Tamandua tetradactyla: one gene and its partner. The protein of the gene in region 2 purifies or fractionates together with the protein of the main gene of each other region. This does not show direct contact. Links are inferred from orthologs where the notes say so. Each region holds a gene or a part of one and is shown on either strand. Other genes may lie near its edges.

Region 1 (8,627 bases), on a different chromosome or scaffold from region 2:
TCTGAAACCCTCAGGCAAGACTGAAACTCTGTAAGATGTCTCTGTCAGCCATTTCACTTTCAGTTACTAAGTATCTTTCAAAAACACAAATCCAATAAGGAGCAATTCTTTTTCTGGAGTAATTTAAAGGACTAAATGAGTATCTGCTAAATTGAACAACAGCCACTGTTGGGTATAACTTTTCAGACATACCACTACCCTATTGGAATCACATTTGTCTGAAATGTATTGATGAAAGAACTTTTTAAACAATATTCCTGTAATAATCCAAACAAAAAGAACTTCCAACTTGAGAAACAGGGATTTGAGATTTGAAACCATTAATTGTTAACATGTGCCTTTTCTTACCAATGTTAAAAGAAAAATGTTTACAAACTTTTGTTCATACTAAAAAACCTCTAGAAATATTCTAAAATTGTTTCTCTTCAAGAGTAATTTTTAAGTCTGATTTTTAAAACAGGACATTTGGATCAAAAGACTCTTTTCAAAAAAGAAAAGTGGGGGTGGGAATAAATGGGGGTGGAACAAATAACATTTGTATTAAAGGTGAAAACCCTAGACAGAGATCTAGGTTATAAATTTGTATAGCATAATTTATATGGCCTAAATTAAAGCCACATTTCAAGAGAAAAACTATTTTAAGATTTTGTAAACTATAGTATCAAATTTTAAGCAGAGGCTCTTCTAATGATATTTTCTATTAAGTTACTTCTTCCAATGATTCGTCTACAGACCTGAACAATTTTTTAACTATATATTATATACAACAGAATAATTTCTCTTTAACAACACCATGTGATTTCTCTTGTTTCCTAAAATAGCATTATACATTTTTCTGAGTCAACCAAAATAAAATCTGGAAACATCATGATCAGGGTGTAAAATCCTTTACTCAGGAATTCTGCATCAGTTCAGAGCCATCACTAAAAACTTTCTGTTCTTTCAAATAGCTGAAATCATAAAACTAATAAAATAAAAAAATAACGTCCTATGAGCCCACAAGAGATGTGTTTACTGTAATGCCTCAACTCTCAACCACATTCTAGATCCAGGAAAAAAATGTATGGTTTCTCTAAAATGCAATATAGTGATTTAAGCTAATGCTTCTAAATCCTAGTTAGAAAAAAAATAAAAGCATATTGTTTTGAAGATACATAAACTAATCTGCTGTGATGAAACCTTGTTAATCTCTTAAAGCAACTTTATTATTTCTAATCAAATAAATTTCACTCAAGAAGGAAGTGTATTTGAATCAAGGACTTTATTAAAGGAAAAATATTCAAAAAGGACAAACAGAGGCGGGAATTAAATTATCTGGGTTTTTTGTTGTAAGTCTGTGCTATACAGATACAACTCTGAATTAAAATTTTAAAAATTTTAATTTTTCTGAAAAGTTTGATAAAAAGAAGCTAACAAAAAATTAAAATACATTATAAAATTCTAGACAATATATACTACAAAGCATGTGTGAAAAGAACCACCTTTTGATTTATTTTGTAACATCAATGTCCAAATAAGAAAACTTGATGTGCTTTCCCCAAATATATATGACTCCTACAAAAATAACAGTGTAACGAGTGGATATTCAAAAAACAAAACTAAATTAAAAAAAAATAAAATGAATATCATATTCCATGATATTCATTCAAGACTACCTGGTGATTAAAAGAATTGAGAAAAGTTTACAAATAACTGAGTAGTATAGGGCCTCTGACATGAGAAAAAAGATATCTGCAAAAATAATAGTCCATTACATTTGTATAGTGCTTTGTATTTTCCAACATACTTTCACAGAAACCACTTTCTCAAGTGTCAAGTCTCATAATTCCTGACACCAATAATCAATCTAGACGGGGTAAGGAGTGCAAACGCCTCCCAACACTTTATGATAACACCCTTTATAAAGTTATGTTCAATAGCACGATCGTGTGCACACACGCAGGAACATACGTACATACATACACACACACACACACACACACACACTCTTCCTACTTTGGTCCTAGCATTCATAAATCAACCATATCAAATTGCTACAGAATGCACAGAACGATAAACAACACTACAAATCTACTAATGTCAAAGCGGCTTGTAATCAGTTTATTCAGAAATGTTTTTATTCAGAAATTCTTTAAAACTCTCCTTCCTACAGTATGACCGAATGTAGAGAATAAGGGGGCCAGACAGATCTTTCTTGGCTCCCTAACCTGGGGGAGGGGAATTCCTGCAAGGATTGGACATAGGATAACAACTGGTTTAAACCTACATTTCGCAGCCAAGGACTTGGTTCCACCTGTCCTGCAGTAAGAGCTCGTCTGCCCTCAGGATGTACGTATGTCAACTGATAACTCAGCTCATCTCCTAAGGGAACATTCCTAGGGGGTTCTACAGTTCTCCCTAAACTTCCAAGAAAACAAAGGTTTAGGCCCAACTCTGTCGCCCCGTGTTTCTTTCTCGTTACTCTAGGTGCCCGGTAAGCTCCAGCTCGCAGTCACCTGGCAGAGGATAGAGTGGAGGACAGAAGAGCACCCAAAGTGGGGGAGAATGGAGGGGGGGGGAGCGGGGGTACCAGAGAACCTGGACCAACTCTGAAATTCTGGCGCACAAAATCGGGTTAGTCTCTAGGGAGGTCCCACATTCGAGGGAACGTGCGGAACTCTGAATGCTTGAGAATGCGAAATCTGAGGCGGGCGAGGAGGGGTCAAGAAGTCACCGGGTACACGACTGGGTCAGAAAGGGCTGTGCTGAAGGCTCAACTCGGGCAGGCTGGCCCCCGGGGCGGAGGTCGTGTCTGGAGGTGGCGATGCCGACGGGTCAGACCCCGGAGGCTGGCGGGGACCCCGGCGCTCGGCCGCCCGGCCGGCTCCGCTACGAGGTTTCAAACCGCCGCCCCCGGGAGGGGCTCAGCCGATTGGAAGTTCAACAACGACCGTCACCAACCCAGGGCCGGAGCGGCAACTCCTTGGCGGAGCTCTCCCCGCCCTCCGCGTCTCCCCAGGAGACCAGACCCCACAAACTCCACCTCCGACCGAGGTTCTAACTCGAGTCCGCCGCGGCTCCAGGCACGCGCGGAGAGCGCCCTCCGGTACCGCACCGACGGCCCCCGACAGGAGTGCGCCGCCGGAGCTCGAGGGGCGCGACGGGGCCTCGCGGGAAGGCGCGCAGAGGAAGCCTCCCTCAGAGTCCGCTCCGGGACGCGGCCCGGCGACCACCTCCGCCGCGCCCCGCGGCACAGCCCGACAGGGCTCCCACCCACCTATCCCGCCGGGTCGCGGGCAGGGCGAGGACCCGAGCGAGCCTACTCCCCCCGCCCCTGCTCTTACCCATCTTTCCGCCTCGCCTTGTAGACGTGCCCGTAGGTGCCGCGTCCCACTTTGCACCCTTCGTACTCAAACAAATCCTCCACCCGCTCCCGCTCCGCCGCCAGCTTCGCCTTGAAATCATAATCCATTGTCTGTTTCCCCCATAGAGGCACCGGGACGCGGGGGCCGCCGCCGCTCAGTCCCTCCTCCTCTCCTCCTCCTCCCCCCGCGACCGCCGCTCCACTTCTCCAACAGCCGCCTCTCGGGCGCGCGCGCGCGCGCCGCCCGCCACTCCACGGTCCGCCTTCAGCAAGGGGTTCCTCGGCGGCCGCGGCAGCCACCTCCTCCACCCCCTCCTCCTCCTCCTCCTCCTCCTCCGCGGCGGCGGCGGCTCCCGCAGGCAGCCCCAGTCCCGCCTCCCCCCTTCATTTCCTTGTTTTGGAACCTGGTGGGCCGCGCCACGGCTTTCTCGAGCTCATTAACAAACCAGCCCGCCCCCCGAGGCCGCGAAGACTCCTGGGAAATGCAGTCCCGAAGGCCTCAGGAGCGACGGAGGCTTGTCCCGCGAAAGAAATACAATTCCCATGCTGTCTTGGGCTTTCACAGCCTCGCCCCCAACAAGGCACGCACGCCTGCGCACTGGGACCGCCCCACCCCCTCAGGTAGCCGTGCACTCCCAGTTCCTGTGAAGGTGGAGAGCTGAAAGTTGCGGTGTATTATTTCACCGCGGTCCTATGGGTACTGACCTCAAGATAGCCCTTGTTCTGGTGGAAGTGTCATACTCCACTATGACTGTCCCCGGGCGAGTAGAAGAGTGGAAAGTATTTAACAAGTGCCTTGCTCAGAACTTTGCTCCGATGGTTTGGGAGACGAGTAGTGTGGTTGGAACAGTTGTACAGCAGATTGTTTTTGCTACGGCATTTGGTCCGCCTGTTGCCCCGCCACCGTCCGGCCGCTCATTGGCGGAGACTAGAGAATAACGTCCTTGTTGGTGCCTGGGTATCCCCAGTCTTTGGCTTCTTTCCCGCTCGTGATTGGAAATTCGTTGTGCTGAGTTCTTCCTGATAGGCTAATCTTTTTTTCTTTACAATGCAAAAACCGTATTTCAAATGCGGAATTCACAGCGGTTTCCTAGTTGTTGCCTTGGTTTGAGGAGAAGATATAACTTCTAAGCCCCAGTAGCCAATCACCCTATTCTAGGCGCTGTAGTCGGTCCCCTCCTCGCATCACCCACCTTCCCCAACATCTGCGATTCCCGTAGTGCCTGAAGGATGCAGCGTTTTAAATAACAATCGTTTTGGTTGTATAGAAAAGGGGGTTTTATGGTGTATGCAAAGTGATGAGGGTGTCCTAGAAAGTTCAAGGATGTCTCTTTAATCGGTGTGAACTATGATTTATTTCATTACTACGTCCATGAAATCGTGTATGTTTGGCATACAGATGAACATAAACGTGATAGGTGCTAGGATAGGATTCAGGTACCGCATTCAGTGGGAACCCAAAGGAAGGAATAGTCAATGCTAACTCAAGTGGTAAAGAAAGCGAAGAGTGAGTCCTGCCTACTAAGTTTTAAAAGAAGCCTGGAAAACTAGAGGGAGGAAACAGGATCGTTTATTTACAACAGCTCCTCCCTAGGAAACTTCTTCAGCTCTTGATGATATTTGCAATCAAGTAGTATCTGAGTTTCTCTTATTGCCTGGCACTGTAATCAGTGCTGGAGATACCAGATGAAAACTGTTCTTTTCCTGACTGGGAACTAAAATCTTTTGAAGTAACATAAAAGCATTAAAAAGCTGTTTCAGGGGGTATGGGGATTAATGCTTAATGGATGTAGGGTTTTTGTTTGAGAAAATGGAAAAGTTCGAGTAATGAAAAGTGGTGCGTGGATCACAATATTGTGAATGTGATTAAGTTCATTAAATGGTGTGGGTGGGAGTGGTTGCGATGGAAAAGTTTATGTTTTATATATATATAATATATTTATATATATACCCACAATTAAAAGAGAAGAAAGTGCAACTAAAGAGACTGACAAATGCAGTACATGATCCAGGATGGGACCTAGCAAGGAAGGAGAAAAGGCCCTAAGGGACATTAATGGGACATATAAAAAATGTAGAATATAGACTAAGATTTATATCAATGTTAAATTTCTTGAACTTGGTTTTTGCACTTAAGCTAGTTACATAATGAATACCTTTGTTCTTGGGAAATGTACATAGTCATATTAAATGTTGGGGGAACATGAGAATACAACCTACACTGAAGTGTACAGAGAATGAATAGGTAGGTGTGTAGGTAGGTTGATAGTTAGAGAGATAGATAAATTTAATAATATAGTAAATGTTGCAAAATTTTACATCTTGGTATGAGTTGTAGAAGTATATTGGGTTTCTCTGTATGGGGTGCATATTATTTTTGTAACTGCTCTGTAAGTTGGAAAGTATTTCAAAATTTAAAAATAATAATAAATAAACCGTGGGTACAAACAGTAATAGGAGTTCTTAAATCTAGGTGCGTCGGGGTAGGTGTCACAAAGGAGGTAGTTTTGAGCTAAAATTTAAAGTTTGGGTAGGGCTTTGCCTGGCAGACAAATGAGGGAGTAGGAAGCAGGGGAATTATTTCAGAAAGAGCAGCAATACATATATTATGAGACAGCATATCTTCTAAGATAAGCAAAAAGTTGAAATAAAACAGACCAAGGCAGGAAAATGAGGTGGATAGGAAGAGAGATGGGATTCTCTGGGCTTGGAGTTGGTTTGCCTCAACATGGCTAAATGCACCAAGCTGGTTGGAATGGTAGGTACATGCTGGACGCGGATGGCCCCTCCCTCAGGAAAATGGTGAAGAAAGTTGAAATCAGCTAGCACGCTAAGCGCACATGTTTCTTCTGTGGTAAAACCAAAATAAACAGAAGAGCTGTGAGGAGCTTTCAGTGTGGTTCTTGCTTGAAAACAGTCACCGGAGGTGCTTGAGTCACCGTGAGAGGACTGGCGGAGATGAAAGACATTGGAAGCTCAACAATTTGAAACATCTCTAGTCTGTAATAAATGAGTTAATTTATGTTAAAATAAAAAAAAAGAAGTCAAGGAAGAGAAGACTGGACAGATAGATGATTAGAAGTCAAGTTATGACAAGGTAGATTTAGCAAGCAGAGGTGTAAGATTTCATAGGCAATATGGGAGGTATTAAAGACATTTGAGCTAAGGAGTAATGTAAATCAGTCTTTTGTATTCAGAAGATCTTTCTGACAACACTGTTCCAGACAAACTGAAGGAAGGTAAGAAGAAAGTTATTACATTAGTGTTTGGGCCCAGACTGAGTCACACAGAGCACAGGCTGGTGCTGATGCAAGACTGAAAAACATGCCAGGCACAGACATATATGTAGATTTATTGGGATTTAAAAACAGGAGAGGGTCTCAGTGGTGGCTGGTTTGAAGAAATAGCACTCCACAAGGAATAGGGTGTGTGTGTGTGGGTTCATACACACACACACACAAAGAGTAATATATGATTTTAGAACAAAGACATTCCATGTAGTATGAGGCCATTGAGTCTCTAGAATAATCATTGAAGGGGCCTAAGAGCTGATGTTTTACTAAGTTTAGTGTTTAAGACTCAGATACAATCAATACTGTTTTTACATCTGTGGTTACATTCCTCCCCCTCCAGGGAGATTGTTTACTTTCTTGACCTTTGTTCTCTCCTAAAGCAGGTGTATTAGGGCTGTTTAGGAGGGGGGCTGGGCCCTGGGCCACCACAGTTAGTGCTGATTGAATACAAAGTCTGAACCATAAAATATGAAAAAAAAGGCAGATACCAGGATTATGTAGGAATAAAATTCAGTAGACTTGGTAGGTAATTAAATGTGGGGTTAAAAAAACATGGAAGAATCCAAGATAACTTCTAGGATTTTTAATTCAGTAATCAGATTTTACCTTTGGAAAGGAGTAGGAGGAATTTCTGAGAGAAAGATGATGAGTTTGGTTTCGTACATCGTGACTTTGAAGTGCCTGCTTGGCATCAAGATAGAAGTAACAGTTAAGCAGGGGAATAGTTTTACCTGTAAATCAGAGATCAAGCCTAAATGTGTAGGGCTTTGGAAGTCATCAGTGTATGATGGTGGAGCATGGAGATCTTTCAGTTGCTTGCTCTATGTAAACATGGGATTTTTGCATTCATTATATCATTTAAATGTGAAAATATCCCTATAAAATATGTTCAAAATATCCCTATAAGATGTGTTCTACTGTTTTTCCAATTTTATATGTGAACAAACAGACAACTAGTAAACTGCACAGCTAGGACTTACTGAATATATTCTTGGGGTAAATGGAAAGTCATAAATGTGTAGGTAGGAAAAAAAATCAAATACGGATTATAAAAAGCTTAATTACAAACTCAAAAAGTTTGATAACACTCTTTGTTATCAAGAATATGGGGAAATGGATACTTTCCTGTGTTGTCAGTGAAAGTGTACATCACTAAATGTATGTATATATCAATATGTATAAGTCTTTGATTTTAGCAACATCTATCAAAATTAAAAATGTATGTGTGCTAAGACCCTGTAATTCCATCTAGGAATTTATACTACATTTATTCTCCTGCGGTCTAAATTTGCCCAGCTGCTGTGATAAATACCACACAATGAATTGGCTTAAACAAGGGACATTGGAATTTCTTTTCTCTTAGTTTCAGACACTAGAAGTCCCAAATCAAGGTGTCAGCAAGGCCAGGCTTCATCTCCAAAGTCTGTAGTGTTCTGGTCTTAGCTTTTTGCAATCCTTGGGGTTCCTTGGCTTGCATCCCTGCCCCGCCCCCCACCTGCCCATCGCATGGTGATGTCCTCGATCTCTTTGTGCCTGGTTGCCACTGTCTTCCAGCTTCTCCTTGTCTCTTTTCTTCTGCTTTAAAAGGACTCTATGAAAATGGATTAAGCCCCACCCTAATTCATTTGGGCCACATCTTAACTAAAACTAACATTTTTTACAGGTCCTATTTATAAATGGGTTCATAGCCACAGGAATATGTATTAAGATAAAGAACTTGTTTCTGTTGGGGTCCATAATTCAATCTACCACATCTGTGATGTGCCTTTCAGTTCCCCTTTAGTACTAAAAGAAGAATTCTTCCCAGGTGTTGTACTGCTACAGATAGTCCTCAGTTGACAGCACTCTTGTGTTAAAAGGGGAAATGTTAGGTTGTTTATATGGTAACAAAATAAAAATTAAGAAAAAAAATCCAGTGAACCCTACATTAAACCATGGACTATAGTTAATAGTACAGTTATAAAAATGTGCTTTCATCAATTGTAACAAAT
Region 2 (8,355 bases):
AGAATTCTCATCTGCCATGCAGGAGACGTGGGTTCGATTCCCAGGCCGTGTTATTTCCCACCCCCACCACCTAAAAAATTCAACAAATGGTACTGCATTAGCGGGATAGTCACATGGAAAAAGAATGAAATGTGACCCCTATCATACAGTATAGTAAAAAAGACAAAAACTAAAACTAAATACTGTATAATATACTATAAAATTATAATTGAGTATACAAAAAGTATCCCATGAAATCTTAAAAAATGGTCTGTTCAGATGCTCTTCCAACTTTAAGAAGACTGAAACTCCCAAGTCAGCATTATAGATCATTTATCAACATCATCAGTCCCTAAACATTTTAGTAAAGTGGTTTTTATGACCATTCACAATAAAGATTAAAATAACTCAAGCATACCCAACTCAATGAAAGAATAAAACTGGCATGACTATCAGAAAGTATCTTGCTGACGCCACTAAGGAACTTTATATCTTGACATGCATATAAATCATATATACATACACACACACACACATATATATATACACACACAAACACATAAACACTTACATACATCATTTTACATATATAAAACAGGCCTAGACTCTCCAGCGGGGAATATATTTGCAAAGTTTCATCATAATCTAATTGCAGTCACTCTCAAGAAATAAGGATTAACACTGAAGAGTGTGTTCTTTAGAAGGTAAAAAGCAACTATCAAAGCATACAAACATTTAGCCACAACACTCACTATGTACTTGTTGCAAATAAGGACACTTAGATTACATTTCATCTAAAGAGAAAATAGGCCCTTTAGGTCAAATGGTAACAACATCAACTTCAGAGTACTCAATTTCAAATAAGAATTGCTTCCTTTTAAACTACCTAAAATTCATAAATTTAACAGTCAAGAATCAATATCAAACCATCTTGCTAAAGCCTCTGATACTCTGTTGCACACAACTATTTATATTACTATCAGCAAAAATACTTAGTTAACACTGACTCTTATAATCTAAGATAAAGACAAACTTCAGTAATTACTTGAAAAGCTAGTTTCTCTTTCTAAAAGTAACATTTGGTCCTAAAAGTCTAGAGAATAAGAAGGAAGTAACCACAATGACTTGCTCACATTAAATTATTTCTGTATAAACTTTTGGATTATGACCCCATGTCCTATAAAAGTTAAACAAAGTGACACTCATCTCATTAATGATAGTCCTTGAGGTAACAGTATCTCAAAATAATCACTTTCCAAGAATAACAAAATTAACATATACCTTCATATGTAAAAAAATAAAAATGAAGTAACAAATAACAGTTACAAAATAACTATATGTCTTGAAAAACATGAGTAAATTACAACACAGCATATCTACATACTCCTACAATTATCCACATATTCATGCAGAAGACAACAGTGGCAGAATTGATTTAATGGTGAGTTAACTTGGCTTCAAAAGTCTTACATGACTTTGTTAGGAACTTTACGCTCCACCATTTCATTTTTCTTAGGTTAATACAATATGGCTTTTCCCTGGGCCCTACATGCCTGTGAGAAATTCAGAAGGGAACAGGGTGGTAGAAGGAAAAAAGTCATTCAAGGCTTAAAACCTGCCATAATATATATGGATAACGTCAATAAAATAACCACAGTGAAATAAAACATGAAGCTGAACTTTTATCTGGCTTCATACTTAAGTGTTCCACACACACAAAAATAAATAAAACTTTTTAAAATTTTAATCTTAATTTGTAATACCAATGTTATTTCAGAAAAATTATGCAACATTGTTACGTCATTAGTTGGAAATAAGTTGCTTTCACCTGATAAGTCATGGTGAATAAGATCAGCAAAATTAGGATCTTCACCCCACCAAAATATCCACAATTCTCTTCTTCCAGGTCTTTGATCTCGCCGCCAGACACCAAGTACATCTGCCTTAAGGCAACGACTAAAACTGCTCAAAATGGGGTCTTCCTCTGTCACCGGAAACAGAATAGGGGCAGAAGTTGGACCTTGCCATACATATCTTTTCCATTTAATTCCTGTCAAGTCAGCCTGGAGGGAGAAAAATGCGATTTTTAAATTAGTGTACATTCACTCAAAGTCAAAAGTAATCACTACAGAAGTTCCTTAGTTTCATTAAGACATAGCAAATTTTCATAGCAATATGCTTAAGTGGCTAGAAAGTGGCTTAAAAGGACAAAAAAAGAGAGGTTTTATAATTCTGATAATTCAACAACCAAGAATTTAATGAAAAGGATAAAACCAATTAAAAAATAACTCAAGTAACTGAGTAACAAGTCAATAAATGTCACAAGTAGAAATAAAAGAAACAATATTAAATATTAAATATAAACATGTACTTTAACACTGCTCCAGAGAAAACACTTCTTCTCTGTCCTAAGTCTATAATAATCAATCAGATTTTTTCCTGTAGGGCCAAACCTTTAACTGAAAATTACTTCTTAAAGATTCTTTCCACGTTTACAGAAGTCATGACTCTAATGAAAAGACATATGAATGTTTCCTGAAAAAATTCTTGTTAATTCTTCACACACCCGTTTAGGAAAAGTCAAATAGCTGCTCAAAAAGAACTGTCAGATTGGTGCTAGTCTATCTTCAAAGAACCCGATCCTAAAAGTACCAAAAATAGACTGAGTTGGAGATGATAGAAATTTAAAACCTAACATGTTTGCCTTTTTACAACTGAAGAGATGCTGATTACTGGACACTACAAGAAAACCAACTTACTTTGCAAGGGGGAAAGACAATAAAGAGCTCCGTTTATCCAGAGAGAATTCAATAATTGTTCAATTTGACTTAAAGGTGCAAAGCATAAGGTGCCAAAAATGAAACTGCTGATACATGACTGGCAATTTAAACTAGTTGTGCTCCGCCCACTCAACTCACTTACCTATCATATACTCTTAATATTTCTCACAGTGCAGGAATAAAATGAAAAAAGAAAGTCACTCAAACTTTAAGTCACTGATGAAACTAAGCTATTGTCCAATTCTGGGTTAGACATTTGCAACAGTTGGTACTTTTGAAAGTCTTAACTGTTGGATGTTTCCAGACATGGACCAACCTACAGAATTGTCATTCTCAACGTCCAGCTTCCCCAGACTTTCTTTCTAATAAAACAAGGAGCAGCCGGCTCAAAATATTCTAAAAACGCAAGCAAAACAGGCAAATATAGAAACGTTTAGTTCAAAACCACACCTCCTCCGTTAGTCCCCTTCACGCTCACACAAACATAATATTCTAATAAAGGCAATATGGCTAGAAATTGTCAAAATGGCAAACTGTTTTCAAAGTTCAAAAAGAAAACATATGAAATGGCACCTACTGGTCTTTACACAAAGATCTGAACTCACTCAATGAGTGATAGTGTGACACATAATAAAAAACGTAAAGCCAAGACGAGCTTTTCATGCCCAAATTCTGGGGTCCTGTTTATTAGGGGGAAAACAGAATTACCAATGTGAGGAATAAAGGCGGTGAAAGACCAAGCAATAATGAAAACTGGAAGAAGGGATAACAGGATCGATAGGAAGAAAAGCAACAGTTTGGCAAAAAACCACTGAGGGAAATGTTAGCTTCCTGGCAAATAAGGAGACTCAAGTTAAAAGACAGACTATGGTGCAGAAAAATAGAAGACTCCGAAACAAGACAAGAAATAAAACCTGACACTCCTAAAAGAGCCCGGGACTGTGACTGAGCCAACGCCGTCTCCCCGGGTTGGGTGCGGGGCTTCGCCACGGCGCCGGCTCGACTGGGCCTACGCCGGGGACTCGGGCATCTGGATCAGACCCGGACCCCCTCCCCCACGGCCCAAGGGCGCACCTCGCGGCCCCTCCCCCACCGCCCCGCTCTTCGCGGCCCGGGCACTCACCAGGGAGAAGAGGTTACAGTGACAATCTTCCAGGCTGGCCCCGTTCGGCACGAAGGAGGAACTCATCGTCCCTCACAGCAGCCGCCGCCGGCGCCACAACCCACCATCCGCCATTACCGCCGCCTCCGACCAGAGAGAGAAACACAGACACCGGGGAGGGCGGGGGGGGGGGTGGTGGTTGGGGGGGGCGGTGGAAGAGGAGGCCGCCGGGCCGCCCGCCCTCCCCACCAACCCCCCCGCCGCCACGAGCAGCCCCCGCCGCCCGGCCGGCACCCAGCCCTCCCGGGCCGAGGTCCGGAGGCGGGAGGGCCGCGGCGCACTCACCCCGCCGGCCGGGCTGCGGCCGCCGCGGAACCCGCGGACGTTCGTCCCTCTCTGGGGGACAGAGGGGATGTGTGCCCCTTCCACAAGAAAAATAAATTACACAATAAATAATTAAAATCAGGTCCAAGACCGCAGAGCCCGAGCCCTGGAAGGTTCTCCCTGGCGGGGAGGCGGTCACAGAGGGGTGGGGAAGGCGAGAACCAGGAGAGAAGCTCAGGCCCCCGGCCCGGCAGCGGCGATGTCCTTAAACCCAGAGTCTCCTCAGTGGCGGAGGTGGTGGCGGCGTCTGCGGGCTCACACCATTCTCTGGCTGTGTCTTCGTGTCCTCCCTCGGCTGAGCCGGCCTAACATCTGCTCTCCTGCGGCCTCACTGCCTGGACGCCGTAGTCTCCCCCATTTTGTGGACCCAGCGGACGATGTTTTTTCCCCCTTTAATCCGAATTCACGGGTTTTCCCTTCGCTTTAATGGCGGCCACAGGGACCAGCTCGCCCTCTCTGCTCGCCCATTGGCCGTCTTGAGGTCACGTGGGCCTGGGCTCCGTGGGGAGGGGGAGAGAGAAGGGAGTAAGGGAGGGCCGGGACGCTTTCGGGGGAAGCAGTGAGCCCGGGGGACAGGGCAGCCAGCTGGTGGCTACTAAGATAGCGCCATCTGCTGGGTGCCCCAGCCAGTGTAAAATGATCCGGGTCCCAGGCCCAATCTTTCTTCCTGCAGTGGAATATACAGTATAGGAAGACTCACATCACAAATCTATGAGAATTACGTGGAAATCAGTTTGAATTCTTTGGAAGAGAAAGTGTTGCAAAAATTCCAAGGCGTTCTCATTTATTCCAGGAGGCCGCTGGGGTGCAGAGGAAACCCCTGGGCTTGGGAATCAGGACAATCTGGATGGAGACAGAACTCAGCAAGCTAAAAGTCGTGTGATGTTAAGGAAGAAACATACGCGGAACAATAAAGCTTTGTGGTTACTGGCTTGGAAATTAGATCTATACTGCACTGAACCTTGAGCAAGTCGCTTACCTCTTTGTGTCTCAATTTTCTCATCTGTAAAATGGGGGAAATATCGCCTCTATCTCATAGAATTGTTGTGATGATTAAATACATGTAATGCACATCGGCAGTGCTGGGTACAGACAAGCTTGTTAAGAGTTAGCTACTATTGCTGTCATCATTACCTCATGCGGCTTTTGGAAGGAATAACCGAACCAGTGTATATGACTATACACTAGAGTGCAGTCTATGTGAGATCCGGGACTTTTTGTTTACTGCTGCATCCTTGGTACCTAAAAAGTTTTCTAGCACACAGTTGGTGCTTGACATCTGTAAATTCACGAATGAATGAAAAGTAAGACGTGGAAACCAAATAAAATGTTAGTTCCCTTTCTCATAGAACGCACAATTACACTTCAATGTAGGTGTTCAAAACATTTTACCTGAGAGTTTGAGTTTTAAATAGAGGGTTACAAGAGAGAAAAGAAAAAGAGATGATTCAGAAGTTAGAAACGTCAGTAGACTTAGAACTAACTCTAATTTAAGTCATAATTGTCTCTAAAATAAATGGTGTACTCTTCCATGCCCCTTCTTCCTCAAGGGAATTAAAAACATTCCTTCATCCACCCATTTGTTCATTCATAGTGGTTAAAGCCCATATCTGGGAGTTAAAAACCTGTAAAAAATGTTCTGCCACTTATTAAATTGACCTTGCTTAATTTCTCTTATTCTCAGTTTTCTCGTTGTACAATGGGAATAATAAAAGTACTTCCCTTCTGAAATGGTTGGTGAATGAAACAAGGAAATTTTAGTGCTTGCCTTAGCACTTACTAAATGTTAGCTACTAATACAGTTTTTAAATTGTCATTGGGCACCTGCTGGCTCAATTGAGTATCTTCCTGACCTGTGCTAAGCCCGGGATACAAATCTGAATACTATACCTGCCTGTCCCTCAAGACTCCTGAAAAGAGGCAATAAAGGAAACATTTCTTAGAAAATAATATAAAATACAATGAGAATAATTGCTTGAAGGAGGTATGTATCAACTATGGCACAACAGGAGCGCTGGAGGAGGAGCACCAAAGTCTGAGAAGGTGTCATAAAGCAGGTAGCATTTGAACTCAGATTTGAAGGATAAAACGAATTCTTATAAAGCCCCTTGAAGCAGTTAAATCTTATTAAACCCAATTCAAATCTAAAGGTCACATATCAAAGCCAATTACACAACCAGGACTAATTCAATCCAGGAGCTCAAATCAACTGAGGTCAGATCCTTCCTCACTGAATATCAACACCAGGAGCCAGCAATCCCCAGACCAAATAAGGTGAGGGGCCTTCTGTTCATCTCTCCTCTAGTCTCTTTCCAGAAAGAATCCACAGACCTTTGTTCCCACTGCTTTTATCAGTTTAAAATAGGTTTTCTCTCATGTTATTTTAGCCAAAATTTATCTATTTCTTAGAAGTTTCCCTCTCCATTGCCCCTATTCCCAACTTTGAGTATCTTCCTCTAGAACCCTAAAGGAGGAAGAATTTGCCTGAAACCTACCTGGTAGGAGGTAACGTTTGATTGACCTTTCATTTGAGCGTCAATCTTCTCAAAATGAAGGGAGAGACAAGGAAGGAGGAAGACCCAGAGGAAAAAATATGAGGAAGGATCATGGAAAGGAACAGGAGAGAGCAAGAAGGGAGAAATGAAGTAGTGGAGAGGGACCCCCATGCTAAGGGGAATGGGCACATCCTGGGGAAGAGGAGAAGAGAATAACAGCAGCACACAGCGAGCATATCAGTAACCATCAAGATTCTATTAACATGACAATTCATGTGATTTAAGGAGTAATTAAAATAAATAAAAACAATACATGTACATTGTCAAAAGTGTGAAAAGTATAGAAAAGTGTAAAGATGAGAACACAAGTGTCCATTACCAAAAAATGCCCATGTCACCATTCATAATTAGACATGTATTAACATTTTGATGTATTTCCTTTCTGACTTTTTCCCATGCACATTTTTACTAGATGATTGAGGTCATATGTTTATGTATATATTTTTACTACACATATTTATTGACAATCTAGTATGTGTCAGGTCATATATGAACAAGGCCCAGGATATATAAGAAGCTAAGAATGTTGCTAGATATAACACTTTGACATTTGGACCACCTAGGGTCAAATTCTATATCATGCTTATTAGCTCTTTGGCTTCAATTAATCCATCTGCAAAAAGTAGATGTAATAATAACATCTAAATGTTAGTGTTGTGAAGACTAAAAGGGATAATCTCCAAATAAAATAGGGGAGCCAATCAGGAATTTTAAGGTGAATTTTAGCAGTCACTTTAGGTTGATAATCACCTACTGTCTTCTACACCTATTGAGATGTGGATTTGCTCAGTGATCTACATTTAAAACTGTTCTTTATCTTTCAGCCTTTAAGTGACTCCTTTCTGAATGGCACAGTGGAAGCAGGGGCTTGCAAACTATCGCCTGGCCTGCAGGAAGCGTGACAGAGTTGCATCACCTGAGGTCTGAAAAAGTCCATGCAAAGGGCAATATCTGCTCTTAGAACTAATGCTTCCTACCTGATTCTGAAAAATCCCAGGTTCCAGAGCAATGCTGTCCAAGAGAAATATGATAACAGCTACTTAAGTAATTTTAACTTTTTCAGTAGCCACACTAGAAAGGTAAATGAAATAGGTGAAATTAATTTTAATTACTATCATTTATTTAACCCAATAGATCAGTAATAAAATCACTTCACATGTGATCAATATAAAAAAAAATTGAGATAGTTTGCATTCTTTTTTTTAGGGAGAGGGGCTACCAAACCTTCAAAATTCACGTATATTTTACACTTACAGCACATTTCAATTTAGCCTAGCCACATTTCAAATGCCCTGTGACTAGAGGCTACTATACAAAATAGTGCAAGTCTCAAGTCAAAAGCTGAAAGCTAAAGACCAATTAAACCATGGAGTGAGTGGTCTTGAGCCTGGAGACGATATTCTCTTAAGGTCATGTTAATCATGTAATATTGTACCTAATTCAATAGAAAAAAAAAGCTGAGGAATTACAAAACATTTTATTTAGTGAACACACAGTCACTATTTTGTTGAATATAAAAATAAGCAGACCCATGAGAGAAAAAATATGGAACTAT

Evidence for each region.
Region 1: the proteins of MED13 (region 2) and CDK19 purify together in Homo sapiens (affinity purification with mass spectrometry; 6 studies listed by BioGRID and IntAct, counting the BioPlex papers as one, with this or other methods). This does not show direct contact. The link is inferred for Tamandua tetradactyla from reciprocal best matches to the Homo sapiens genes MED13 and CDK19.

The regions. Positions count from the first base shown.
Region 1 is NC_135331.1:169,435,579-169,444,205, forward strand, and holds the start of CDK19 (cyclin-dependent kinase 19), read right to left. Parts: upstream 3,650-8,627; 5' UTR 3,452-3,649; coding exon 3,324-3,451; intron 1-3,323.
Region 2 is NC_135332.1:41,327,553-41,335,907, reverse strand, and holds the start of MED13 (mediator of RNA polymerase II transcription subunit 13), read right to left. Parts: upstream 4,030-8,355; 5' UTR 3,949-4,029; coding exon 3,883-3,948; intron 2,043-3,882; coding exon 1,808-2,042; intron 1-1,807. UniProt on the Homo sapiens protein: Component of the Mediator complex, a coactivator involved in the regulated transcription of nearly all RNA polymerase II-dependent genes.